Ovis aries: one gene and its partners. The protein of the gene in region 1 interacts with the protein of each later gene in a pairwise test. Links are inferred from orthologs where the notes say so. Each region holds a gene or a part of one and is shown in the gene's direction. Other genes may lie near its edges. The genes, in order: AP2B1, SLC25A6 and GTF2I.

What was found.
Region 2: the proteins of AP2B1 (region 1) and SLC25A6 interact in binary tests that used the Homo sapiens proteins (3 or more experiments, as listed by UniProt). The link is inferred for Ovis aries from reciprocal best matches to the Homo sapiens genes AP2B1 and SLC25A6.
Region 3: the proteins of AP2B1 (region 1) and GTF2I interact in binary tests that used the Homo sapiens proteins (3 or more experiments, as listed by UniProt). The link is inferred for Ovis aries from reciprocal best matches to the Homo sapiens genes AP2B1 and GTF2I.

What each region holds. Positions count from the first base shown.
Region 1 is NC_056064.1:14,410,348-14,413,996, reverse strand, and holds part of AP2B1 (AP-2 complex subunit beta), read left to right. Parts: intron 1-2,073; coding exon 2,074-2,203; intron 2,204-3,649. UniProt on the Homo sapiens protein: Component of the adaptor protein complex 2 (AP-2). Adaptor protein complexes function in protein transport via transport vesicles in different membrane traffic pathways.
Region 2 is NC_056080.1:6,639,854-6,643,523, forward strand, and holds the start of SLC25A6 (ADP/ATP translocase 3), read left to right. Parts: upstream 1-741; coding exon 742-852; intron 853-2,540; coding exon 2,541-3,027; intron 3,028-3,670. UniProt on the Homo sapiens protein: ADP:ATP antiporter that mediates import of ADP into the mitochondrial matrix for ATP synthesis, and export of ATP out to fuel the cell.
Region 3 is NC_056077.1:33,329,383-33,333,131, reverse strand, and holds the start of GTF2I (general transcription factor II-I), read left to right. Parts: upstream 1-1,118; 5' UTR 1,119-1,340; coding exon 1,341-1,452; exon of another isoform or gene 1,453-3,749. UniProt on the Homo sapiens protein: Interacts with the basal transcription machinery by coordinating the formation of a multiprotein complex at the C-FOS promoter, and linking specific signal responsive activator complexes.

The sequences.
Region 1 (3,649 bases):
AGTAATATCTCTCTACTAACTAACAATACTGAGCATTTTTTTCATAATCTTGTTGACTAATCTTATATCTTCTTTGGAGAAGTATCTTCTCAGATCATTCCTTTTTCTTTTTTAAAAAAATTATTTGTCCTATTATCAAGTAGTAAAGTTTTTTATATTTTCTAGCTATAAGTACTTTTCAGATATGCCTTGGAAATAATCTTCCCCCAGTCTGTAGCTTACTTGTACTCTCTTAGTGTTTTTCAAGGAACAGGTTTTTTGTTTAAACACAGTTTATTTTACAATTTTTTCCTTTTTAAGTCTTTCGCTTTTTGTGTTCTGTTTATCAAATCTTTACCTGACCTACAGTTATTAATACAATTAAAAAAATTTTAATGGAAATGGCAGTCAATAAAGCTCTTATGTTTGCCTTTATAATTCATTTTGAGATAATTTTGGTGTGATAATATGGTGTAGTGTGCAGTGTCCAGTTGTGTCCGACTCTTCATGGCCCCATGGATTGTAGCCCACCAGGCTTCTGTGTGTGTGGAATTTTCTAGGCAAGAGTACTGGAGTAGGTTGCCATGCTCTCCTTCAAGGGATCCGGAAATCCTCATCTCTTGAATTGGCAGGTGGATTCTTTACCATTAGCGCCACCTGGGAAGCCCAGTATGGTGTAAAGTAAGAGTCAAAGCAAAGTCTTGCTGTAGTAAATCTTGAAGTCATATAGTATAAACCCTCCAACTATGTTCTTTTTCAAAAATTGTTTTGGGCAATTCTAGGTCTTTTTCCTGCTTGGATTTTGATGGAAGGTATAGAGAATATATAGATCAGTTAGGGGAAGAACTGACAACAAACAATACTAAGTCTTCCAATCTATCAGCATAGCGTATCTCTCCATTTATGTAAGACATCTTTAACTTCCCTCTACAGTATTTTATAATTTTTCATGTATAGATCTTACACATCTTATGTTGTATTTAAGTGTTTCGTAGTTTTGATGTTTACAGTAAGTAGCATGTTTTAACTTTTGGTTGCTAGTTTATAGAAATACAGTTGATTTTTGTATATTGAACTTGTATCTTGCAACTTCAATAAACTTACTTACTAGTTCTGGTAGCCTTTTTAAAAGATTCCCTATGGTGTTCCACATAGATCAATCATGAGATCAAGATCAAAAGGGCAGAATAGTTTTTGACCTATAAATGTTAATACCAAAATGATTTGATGTGTCTACTCAAAATCATTTATTACATTTGGGACTCTAAAGTATAGTTTATCTAGGAAAAGGAAAATGTTTCTCCTGCTGTTCTGAAATTGATACTGCTTAAAAAACTCTAGTTACTTTACATTATAATCTCATCTTTCTTCCTGAGGCTAATTAGAGCATAAGTTCAATGTAAATTTGTATCATTAAGCTGTTCATTTGTTATACCTGTGGCCCAACTTTTCCCTTTCGGTCTTCCTTCATACATTTTTGTTTTTATGTGACTTCTAACTCAGGCTTTTCCTAGCTCTTTACTGTTTTATATTATTATCATGTAGGCTTCTGTGAGAAGTCTAACTGTAGTGGATATTCACTTCCTGCCTTAGGCTAAGAAAGTGGCCAGGTTTGAGTCTGCAGTGTGTCTTTCGTCCTTTGGAGTACTGTTTTGAATGTTTAAACCAGTCAATTCTGCTTTACTTAGAGTGGCTTTTTCCCAATGATTGTATCCTATGTAAGTAAACAAAGAAAAAAGAAAGTGAGTTACCGTAAATCATCCTCTGGGCTGACTGGGCAGGCTATCAAGCTAGTGAAATAGTAGTAGTGTACTTTGCAGGGTGGGTATTCTCCCAAGGATTATCTAAAGACAGATGTATAAAAAAAGATGCTTATCAAATCTGCCCCTCTAGTGGCATGATAAACATAAAACTTTAGAATCAGGGCATTAGCTAACCAGTTCTCTGCTGCTGAATGTTTTCTCCTTCCTCTAATCTATTTCATGGAAAACAGAGGTTATGTGGTTTCCTTGTATAAAAAGCCATGGAAACCTAAAGATGTGTCTAAATCCTGCCTCCTAATAACCTCTAGGACTTCTTCACCCTCTCTTCTAGCTTTGGTGTCATCCCCAGCACTCCTCTGGCCATCCATACACCACTGATGCCAAACCAGAGCATCGATGTCTCCCTGCCCCTCAACACCTTGGGCCCTGTCATGAAGATGGAGCCTCTGAACAACCTACAGGTTAGACTCTTACTTCAGTCTGGGTGTACAGGTTGATATCTTGCCAATTTTATTTTATTTATATGTAAAGCAACTCCTCTCATATTAGATTTAGTCATGGAATAGGGTTTGAAATAACTCTGTGGAGAAGACTTATTTTTCATTAAAACACACACACGCAAAAATCATAACATTGACACAGAAAGTTACTAATTTTTTTTAATTCTACAAACAAAAACTTTTCAAGGTGTTATTTATAAACTTTTTTCTTAAGACTTTCATAAAAGGGAATTTGAACGTTGTAAGAGTAGATTTCCCAGAGAAGGCAATGGCACCCCACTCCAGTACTCTTGCCTGGAAAATCCTATGGACGGCGGAGCCTGGTAGGCTGCAGTCCATGGGGTCGCGAAGAGTCGGACGCGACTGAGCAACTTCGCTTTCACTTTTCACTCTCATGCATTGGAGAAGGAATGGCAACCCACTCCAGTGTTCTTGCCTGGAGAGTCCCAGGGACGGGGGAGCCTGGTGGGCTGCCATCTATGGTGTCGCACAGAGTTGGACATGACTAAAGCGACTTAGCAGCTCCAGCAGCAAGAGTAGATTTCAGGAAAGCTATGTGGAGGTCATCTTTGAATACACTGCCATAAATAATTGGGTTATCTGTATGATATGCATGTGGTAAGTGTAACATCAACTTAGAGGAGGTCAGAACTTTATCATGTCTAAAAGAGCCTCTCCATCTTGAAAATACTGAATTTTTAGAATGCTTAAGTTCTAGCTTAGAGTTTCATTTCATTTGCATCACTTTGAATTTCTCTTTGAAATAAGCCTTCTGGGGTTTAAGCAACATGAAGGTAGAGTAGTAAGCATGTAAATTGAAGCCCAGCAACCTGAAGGGATAACATACAGATAGAAGCCTGGAAGTTGAGGGTTTTAATATTCACAGGGACGGAAGAGACCACCTTGGGTCGACCTGAGATGGGGAACTGTAACTGAGCTTTGCATAAAGCTGACCCCCTGGAAGGGCAAGTCCCTCAGTGAAAAGGGAACTAGAAACACATTTCCATAGAGGCAAGTGATTGGAGAAAGTTCTCTCTGACCAGGGTTCTAATGGCCTCTTGTGAAAAATCCGGAGCCTGAATTTATACTGGGTAGGTACAGAATTCTCCAAACCAGTGTAAAGTTGGACCAGAACTGATAGAGCCTAGGATACCTGGCAGAAGCAAATAGAGAATTGGCCCTTTTACAACAATTTTGAACTTAAAGGCCATCAGGACTCCCATCTGAAAAGAAAATCTCTACTGAAAGTGAGCTCACATTTTAACAAGAAAAGAAAAAGGGAGTGATGTACTGTGACTGACACAAGACTCAACTAAGAGGATTGGGCATCCCCTTCTACCAAGAACTTGAGAGAATAGTCTGAATGAGACTATAAAATATGCTGTAAATGATGAACAAAAAATAGCA
Region 2 (3,670 bases), on another chromosome or scaffold:
GCTGGGTGGGGGGGTGGGGGTCGCGGGCGGGACTCGGGGGTCTGCGGCGCGGAGCCGGGGCCCCAATGATCGGACCGGCCAGAGTGGACGAGCCTGGGGACCCGAGCGTCCGGTGCTACGATTGGGAGAAGAGAGGGCGCGGGCCTTCGCAAAGCCCGGCCTGTCCCCTACGCCAGTGTCGTTCGTCGCCGCCGCCAGGCCAAGCATGACCTTGAAAAGGTCAGAGTGGCCGCCACGCAACCCAGCGCGACCCGCCCCGGGCACGCTCGGCGCAGAGGCGGGGCGCGGTTCCCGACATGCCCCGCGGCGAGACGCGCGGGCCAGGGGCGGGGCCTGGGTGGTGGCGCAGCCAATAGGCGCGGCGCACGGGGGCCCCCGGGGCGGGGCGAGGCGCAGCTCCCGGCAGCCCGCGGGAGGCGCGGCGCGCGCCCAGGGGGCGGGGCCGGGGCGGCGGCGCAGCCAATGGGCAAGGCCGTATGGACCCACGGGGCGGGACGAGGCGCCGCTCCCGGCAGGCCGCGCGGGGGCGGTGCGCGCGCCCAGGGGGCGGGGCCCGGGCGGCGGCGCAGCCAATGGGCGCGGCGCGCGGGGGCCGCGGGGCGGGGCGCGGGCCCCTTAGCGGCTGCGCGGTGGCCGCCCTGTCCTTTCGGTCCCGGCGGCGGCAGCGCTGAGCCAGCGGCGCTCACCTTCCGGCTCTCTCTCTGCTTCTCTGCGCCTCCGCTCCGCTCTCCGCCCGCCGCCATGACGGAACAGGCCATCTCCTTCGCCAAGGATTTCCTGGCCGGGGGCATCGCCGCCGCCATCTCCAAGACGGCCGTGGCCCCGATCGAGCGCGTCAAGCTGCTGCTGCAGGTGCGTGTCAGGCTGCTGGCGCGCGGCCGCCGGCGCCGGGCCCCGGGGAGCTCGGGCGCGCGCGCGGCCCCGGGACCGGAAGCGGGGAGGTCGCGCCGCTTTGTCCGCGCGCGGCCGGCCGGGCTGGCTTCCGGGGGGTCGCGTCACGTGGGCACCGCCGCGAGGGAGCGCATGCGCGGGGGGCGCCCGGCGGCGATGTCCGCATTGGGGCGCGGGGCGCCGCATGCGCGTCGGGCGGCCGGCGGCGGCGCCCTCCGCGCCTGCGCACTGGGGGGCTGCAGAGTTGGAGTGCGCATGCGCGGGGGGAGAGCCGCGTGGACGGACCCTGCGAGGCTGTGGGTGGGGTCCCGTCCCCTTGGGCCGTGGACGGGGAAAGATCTTTAGTCTCCGCAGTTGTACTGGTCTTCTTGCCCACTGTTCGCACTTGTTTGCGCGGGTATGAGGTGGAATAAACTGCGCTGGTCTGTTTGGAGCGTCACAAATGGGGAGCCAGTGGAATTAGCGTTGCGATGGGATTGCCACCCTTAAAGAAAATAGGATTCCCCAGGAAGGATGCTAGGAGAGCTTAAAGGCCCCGTGTAAATGTCTTATTAACGACACGTCGGTCGTTGGTGACCTCTGCAGGTGTCAACCGCAAATTGGCGCTTGTGGGCACCTGCTGTTTACCTCTGAAAGCGGTAGTAGTGTCAGTCGTGTCCGACTCTTGCGACCCCATGGACTGTAGCCCTGCCAGGCTGCTCTGTCCATGGGATTCTCCAGGGAAGCATACTGGAATGGGTTGCCATGCCCTCCTTCAGCGGATTTTCCTGACTCAGGGGTGAAACCCGGGTCTCCTGCATTGCAGGGTGATTCTTGACCGTCTGAGCCGTCTCTATGAGTATTGAGTCAGGTGCTGCTGACCTTCAGACCCCGTGAAAGGACCTCAGGGTGGAGAGCAGGAATGAGGCATGCGGGTTCTGGGAAAAAGTGACAGGCCAGGTCATGAGACAGATGTTTCCAGTGGCTGATTGTGAGCCCACTTCTTGCTTGCCCACCTCATGTTTCAGTTCAGTCGCTCAGATGTGTCCGATCATTGCCGACCCCATGGGCTGCAGCACGCCAGGCTTCCCTGTTCATCGTTTAGAAAAGCACTAAAAACTTTTACTGTGACGAGTGCTCCTTGAGGCTCTGAGAAAGGCTCTGCGAGAGTGTGTGCTCGCTCTAGGAACTTCCCATTGACCAGAATCTCATCCAGTCTCACCTCTGGCTCAATCTCTCAGCTATCTGAGCTGCTCTCCCCCGGGGGGTGTAGTCCTCGCCTTGCCCCAGATCGTAACTCGCCACTCTCGGGTCGTGTATTTTTTATAAGTGGCCATGGAGGTCTGCCCTAGGCCCTGGGTGAAGCCCTGTTCCCCCTCACTCCTGCCCCAGGGTGCAGCACGCCAAGCTTCCCTGTCTGTCGTGTGTGAAAAAGCATTAAAAACCTTCACGGTGACGAATGCACCTTGAGACTGTAAGAAACGCTCCGCGAAAATATGTCCTAGCTCGTATGAACTTCTGTTGACCAGAATCCCACCCATACCGACCTTTCCCTCACCTCTTGGAGCAGTCACTCAGAGCTGTCTGAGCTTCACCAGAATCTCCTCTAAGTCTCGGCGGTGTGCCCAGGCCCCCGGTAGAGCCCTGTGTCTCCCTCCGCCGCCCCCCAGGTGCAGCACGCGAGCAAGCAGATCGCGGCCGACAAGCAGTACAAGGGCATCGTGGACTGCATTGTGCGTATCCCCAAGGAGCAGGGCGTGCTGTCCTTCTGGCGGGGCAACCTGGCCAACGTCATCCGCTACTTCCCCACGCAAGCCCTCAACTTCGCTTTCAAGGACAAGTACAAGCAGATCTTCCTGGGGGGCGTGGACAAGCACACGCAGTTCTGGAGGTACTTCGCAGGCAACCTGGCCTCGGGCGGCGCGGCCGGGGCCACCTCCCTGTGCTTCGTCTACCCGCTGGATTTCGCCCGAACCCGCCTGGCGGCCGACGTGGGCAAGTCGGGCAGTGAGCGCGAGTTCAGGGGCCTGGGAGACTGTCTGGTGAAGATCACCAAGTCCGACGGCATCCGCGGGCTGTACCAGGGCTTCAACGTGTCGGTGCAGGGTATCATCATCTACCGCGCCGCCTACTTCGGCATCTACGACACCGCCAAGGGTGAGCTCCCTGCCGGAGGCGACGGTGGGGGCGGCACCGGGAGGGCCCGGGCCTTCTGCTCCCTGGGGCAGGGGCTTGTCCTGGGGGGAGGGCGGAGGCACCTCAGCTGCTGATAGCTGAGGGCTCCCAGCCCCAGCAGCTGGAGGCTGAGACCCAGGGGTGGGCGGGGCTCTCTCCTGGGCGAGTGGACTCCCTGAGTCCTCATGAGCTCCTCCCTCTGGGTGTGTCTGTCTGGCCCCAGAGCCGCCTGGTGACCTCATTTCACCTTCATTCTCTCTTGAAAGTGAAAGTGAAGTCATTCAGTCGTGTCCGACTCTTTGTGACCCCATGGACTGTAGCCTATCAGGCTCCTCCATCCATGGGATTTTCCAGGCAAGAGTGCTGGAGTGCATTGCCGTTTCCTTCTCCAGGGGATCTTCTCGACCCAGGAAAAGAACCCGGGTCTCCCGCATTGCAGGCAGATCCTTTAGCATCTGAGCCACCACCCTCATTTCCAAAGACAGCTTCCTTTTAGGGTCCTGAGGGTTAGGAATACATGTAAATTCATCACCATGGATAAGAGGGATTCCTGGTTGGCCTGGACAGATAGCACAGAAAGGGCAGCACAGCTTTATTGCCCCCGGTCCTGGAGGCTGGAGTCAGA
Region 3 (3,749 bases), on another chromosome or scaffold:
TCTCTAGCCTGGCTGAATCTCTGAATCTCCTCTGACTTGGCTTTTGTCTCCCACAGACAGCAGCCCCCCCTCCCCCCTCCCCGCCCTTATCTGCGGTTTCACTTTCCACGGTTTCAGTTACAGGCATTTGGAAAACATTACAGCTATCCCTTGGTCTAGAAGGGTGATTGGTTCCAGGGATGCCCACCCCCCTCACCTTCCCAAAACCCCCAGGTGCCAAAATCTGCAGAAGCTTAAGTCCCTTATATAAAATGGCTGTAGGATTCACATACGGCGTACACACACCCTCCCTTGTACTTTTAATGATCTCTGGATTTATAATACCTAATACAGTATAAATGCTATGTAAATCATTGTAAATACAATGTAAATGCTATGGAAATCGTTGCTGGGCACCCACCCAGCAAAGGCAAGTTCTGCTTTTTTGAAAGTTTCTGGCATTTTTTTGTTTGTTTGTTTTGGAATATTTTCCATCCACGGTTTGTTGAATCCGCAGATGCAGAACCCGCGGATATGGAGGGCTGGCTGCAGATGGAAAATTCCAGAAATAAACAATTCATAAGTTTTAAATTTCACACCCGCCTGCTCCGTCCTGCCCAGGGTCATGAATCATCTCTTTGTCCAGCGTATCCTGCCCGGTAGTCTCTTGGTAGCTGCCTGGGTTATCAGATCTACTGCTGAGGTATCAGCAGGGCTTGTGCTCAAGTTAACCCTTATTTTACTTAATAATGGCTCCAAAGCGCAAGAGTAGTGATGCTGGTGGTTCAGATATGCCAAAGAGAAGCCGTAAAGTGCTTCCTTTGATTGAAAAAGTGAAAGTTCTTGACTTAGTAAGGAAAGAAAAAAAATCTTATGCTGAGGTTGCTAAGATCTACGGTAAGAACGAATCTTCTATCCGTGAAATTATGAAGAAGGAAAAAGAAATTCGTGCTAGTTTTGCTGTTGCGCCCCGAACTGCAAAAGTTACAGCCACAGTCCGTGATGAGTGCATAGTTAAGATGGAAGAGGCTTTAGATTTGTGGGTGGAAGACATGAACAGAAAGCGTGTTCCTATTGACAGCAACGTGTTGCGTCAGAAAGCACTGACCCTGTATGAGGACTTCAGCCAGGGAGCCCTTGAAACGAGTGACACCAAGCCCTTCACTGCCAGTAAGGGATGGCTGTACAGATTCAGGAATAGGTTTGGACTGAAAAATATAAAGATTACTGGACAGGCTGTGCCTCCTGAGGAAGCAGCTGCTGCCCTGTTTCCAGCGGAGGTGAAGAAGTTGATTAAGGAGAAAGGATGTTATCCAAAGAGAGTCTTCAACTGTGATGAAACTGGGCTCTTCCGGAAGAAGATGTCCAATAGAACCTTTATTCATAAAAGTGCAAAGGAGGCACCAAGGCGTAAAACGCGGAAGAACAGATTAGCTCTGGTGATACCTGGAAGCTCACCTCATCATAAGAAGGGTGAGTATAGTGTAATAAGATATTTAGAGAGAGACACCACATTCACGTAACTTTTATTGCAATACATATTGTTATATTGTTCTTAGTTATTATTAACCTCTTGTGTATGTTCGCTCAATTGTGTCCGACTCTCTGCGATCCCCTGGACTGTAGCCCACCAGGCTCCTCTGTCCGTGGATTTTCCAGGCAAGAATACTGGAATGGGTTGCCACTTCCTTTTCCAGGGTGTCTTTCCAAGCCAGGGATTGAACCTGCATCTCCTGCATTGGTAGGTGGATTCTTTACCACTGCGCCACCTGGAAAGCCCATTAATCTCTCACTCTGCATAATTTATAAATTAAACTTTGCTATAAGGGACTAACCTGGTGGTCCAATGGTTAAGATTCTGTGCTTCCACTGCAGGGAACTTGGGTTCAACCACTGGCCAGGGAAATAAGATCCTCATGCATGGCCAAAAAACACCCCCAAAACAAAGAACTTTATTATAGGTGTGTACATACAGGAAAAAAAGATAGTATATAGAGAATTCAGTACTATCCTCATAGATAAGGAGGGGCTACTGTATGCAATAGAATGGAGTGTCCTGTTTTTGGACACTCACCTGCAGGACTACATATGGTGGGTTAAACATAAAAAGAGATGTATATGAAATAATTTGAAATAACCTGCAAGATTCTGCCAGCTGGTAATTCCCTGGCAGTTCAGTGGTTAGGACTCTGAGCTTACACTGGAGGCGGTACAGGTTTGATCTCTGGGTGGGGAACTAAGATCCAACGTGCCGCATGGTGCAGTCAGACTGCAGTCTCAGTCTTGGTACACACATCGTGTTATGTTGAATGTGATTCTAAACAAAAGTTGAGTGTTATTTGAACAAAGGAGGATTCCATAAGAAATCATTCTGAAATATACAAATCAATTTTGTTTTTGTATTTTTCATTTGTTGCTCAACCCAAGCAGTGTAATCTTGTGTTGGAAAACAGCTGGCTGTGCTGAGTTGGTATCTCAAGTGGCATGTAATTCTGATCACCATTAACATAGCACTTGTACCAATGAGGTGAGGGAAAAACTGGTTAACCAACAGCAAGTGCACCAGTAACAGCCAAGGTGAGCCGGGTCTTAAGACTGAACATGTATGATATTTACGACTGTAAGTATCAATCTGAGGGTTAAACCTGCCAATAGCAGTACACGGGGAAAAAAGGTTGACTTCTATACATTGTTCATTGTCCCCAACGGGCCAGCTTTCTGTCCAGAGGCAATTCAAAGCCACCTAAAGTTTTAAGACCAGTTCGATAGTTCAACCTCAACCTCAAGGAAGCTGGAGTTGTTCATGAAGTAGCAGCAAAATTTCACACAGAACTGTTAACTTCAGAAAAGGGGGGGCTATCTCCCACATAAGTTTTTAATGACAAGGGTGCTGCTGCTGCTAAGTCGCTTCAGTTGTGTCCGACTCTGTGTGACCCCATAGACGGCAGCCCACCAGGCTCTGCCCTCCCTGGGATTCTGCATGCAAGAACACTGGAGTGGGTTACCATTTCCTTCTCCAATGCATGAAAGTGAAAAGTGAAAGTGAAGTCAGTCAGTGGTTTCCTACTTTTAGTGACCCCATGGACTGCAGCCCACCAGGCTCCTCTGCCCCTGGGATTTCCAGGCAAGAGTACTGGAGTGGGTTGCCATTGCCTTCTCCAATGACAAGGGTAATCGTGACTAAATGAACTCATCTTACTTCCTAACACCCTTCCAAAGCTCCTCCATTACTCCACCACACCCAGTGCATCCTCCCATCACTGTCTTCAACTTCTCAGTATTCCGAATAATCCGTTCAAGACCAAAAAAAAAAAAAAGTTGTGTTAGTCCCTCAGTCGTGTTGGACTCCTTGCAATCCCATGAACTGAAGCTCACCAGACTTTTCTGTCCATGGAATTCTCCAGGCAGGAATATAGGAGTGGGTAGCCATTCCCTTCTCCGGGGATCTTCCCGAACCAGGGATTAAACCCTGGACCCCCTTGCATTGCAGGAGGATTCTATGCCCTCTGACCCACCAGGTAAGCCCTCAGGGTTCCTATCCCTCCATAAAACATCCTCAGCTGATGCTCACAGCAGCTGAGTTTGCAGCTCCTGGGGTGGTTGCTATTACCAGCTGAATTTTAGGCTTCTCAAGAGTTAATGTTTATCCCTAAGTATGTCAGTTGTACTTGGTATTGGGAAGATGGAGTTTAAATATTTCAAAATGTTAATGAAGAAAGACTGCAAAAAGAAAATTGTTCTTATGAAAAACTAAACACTGTGCAGAAACT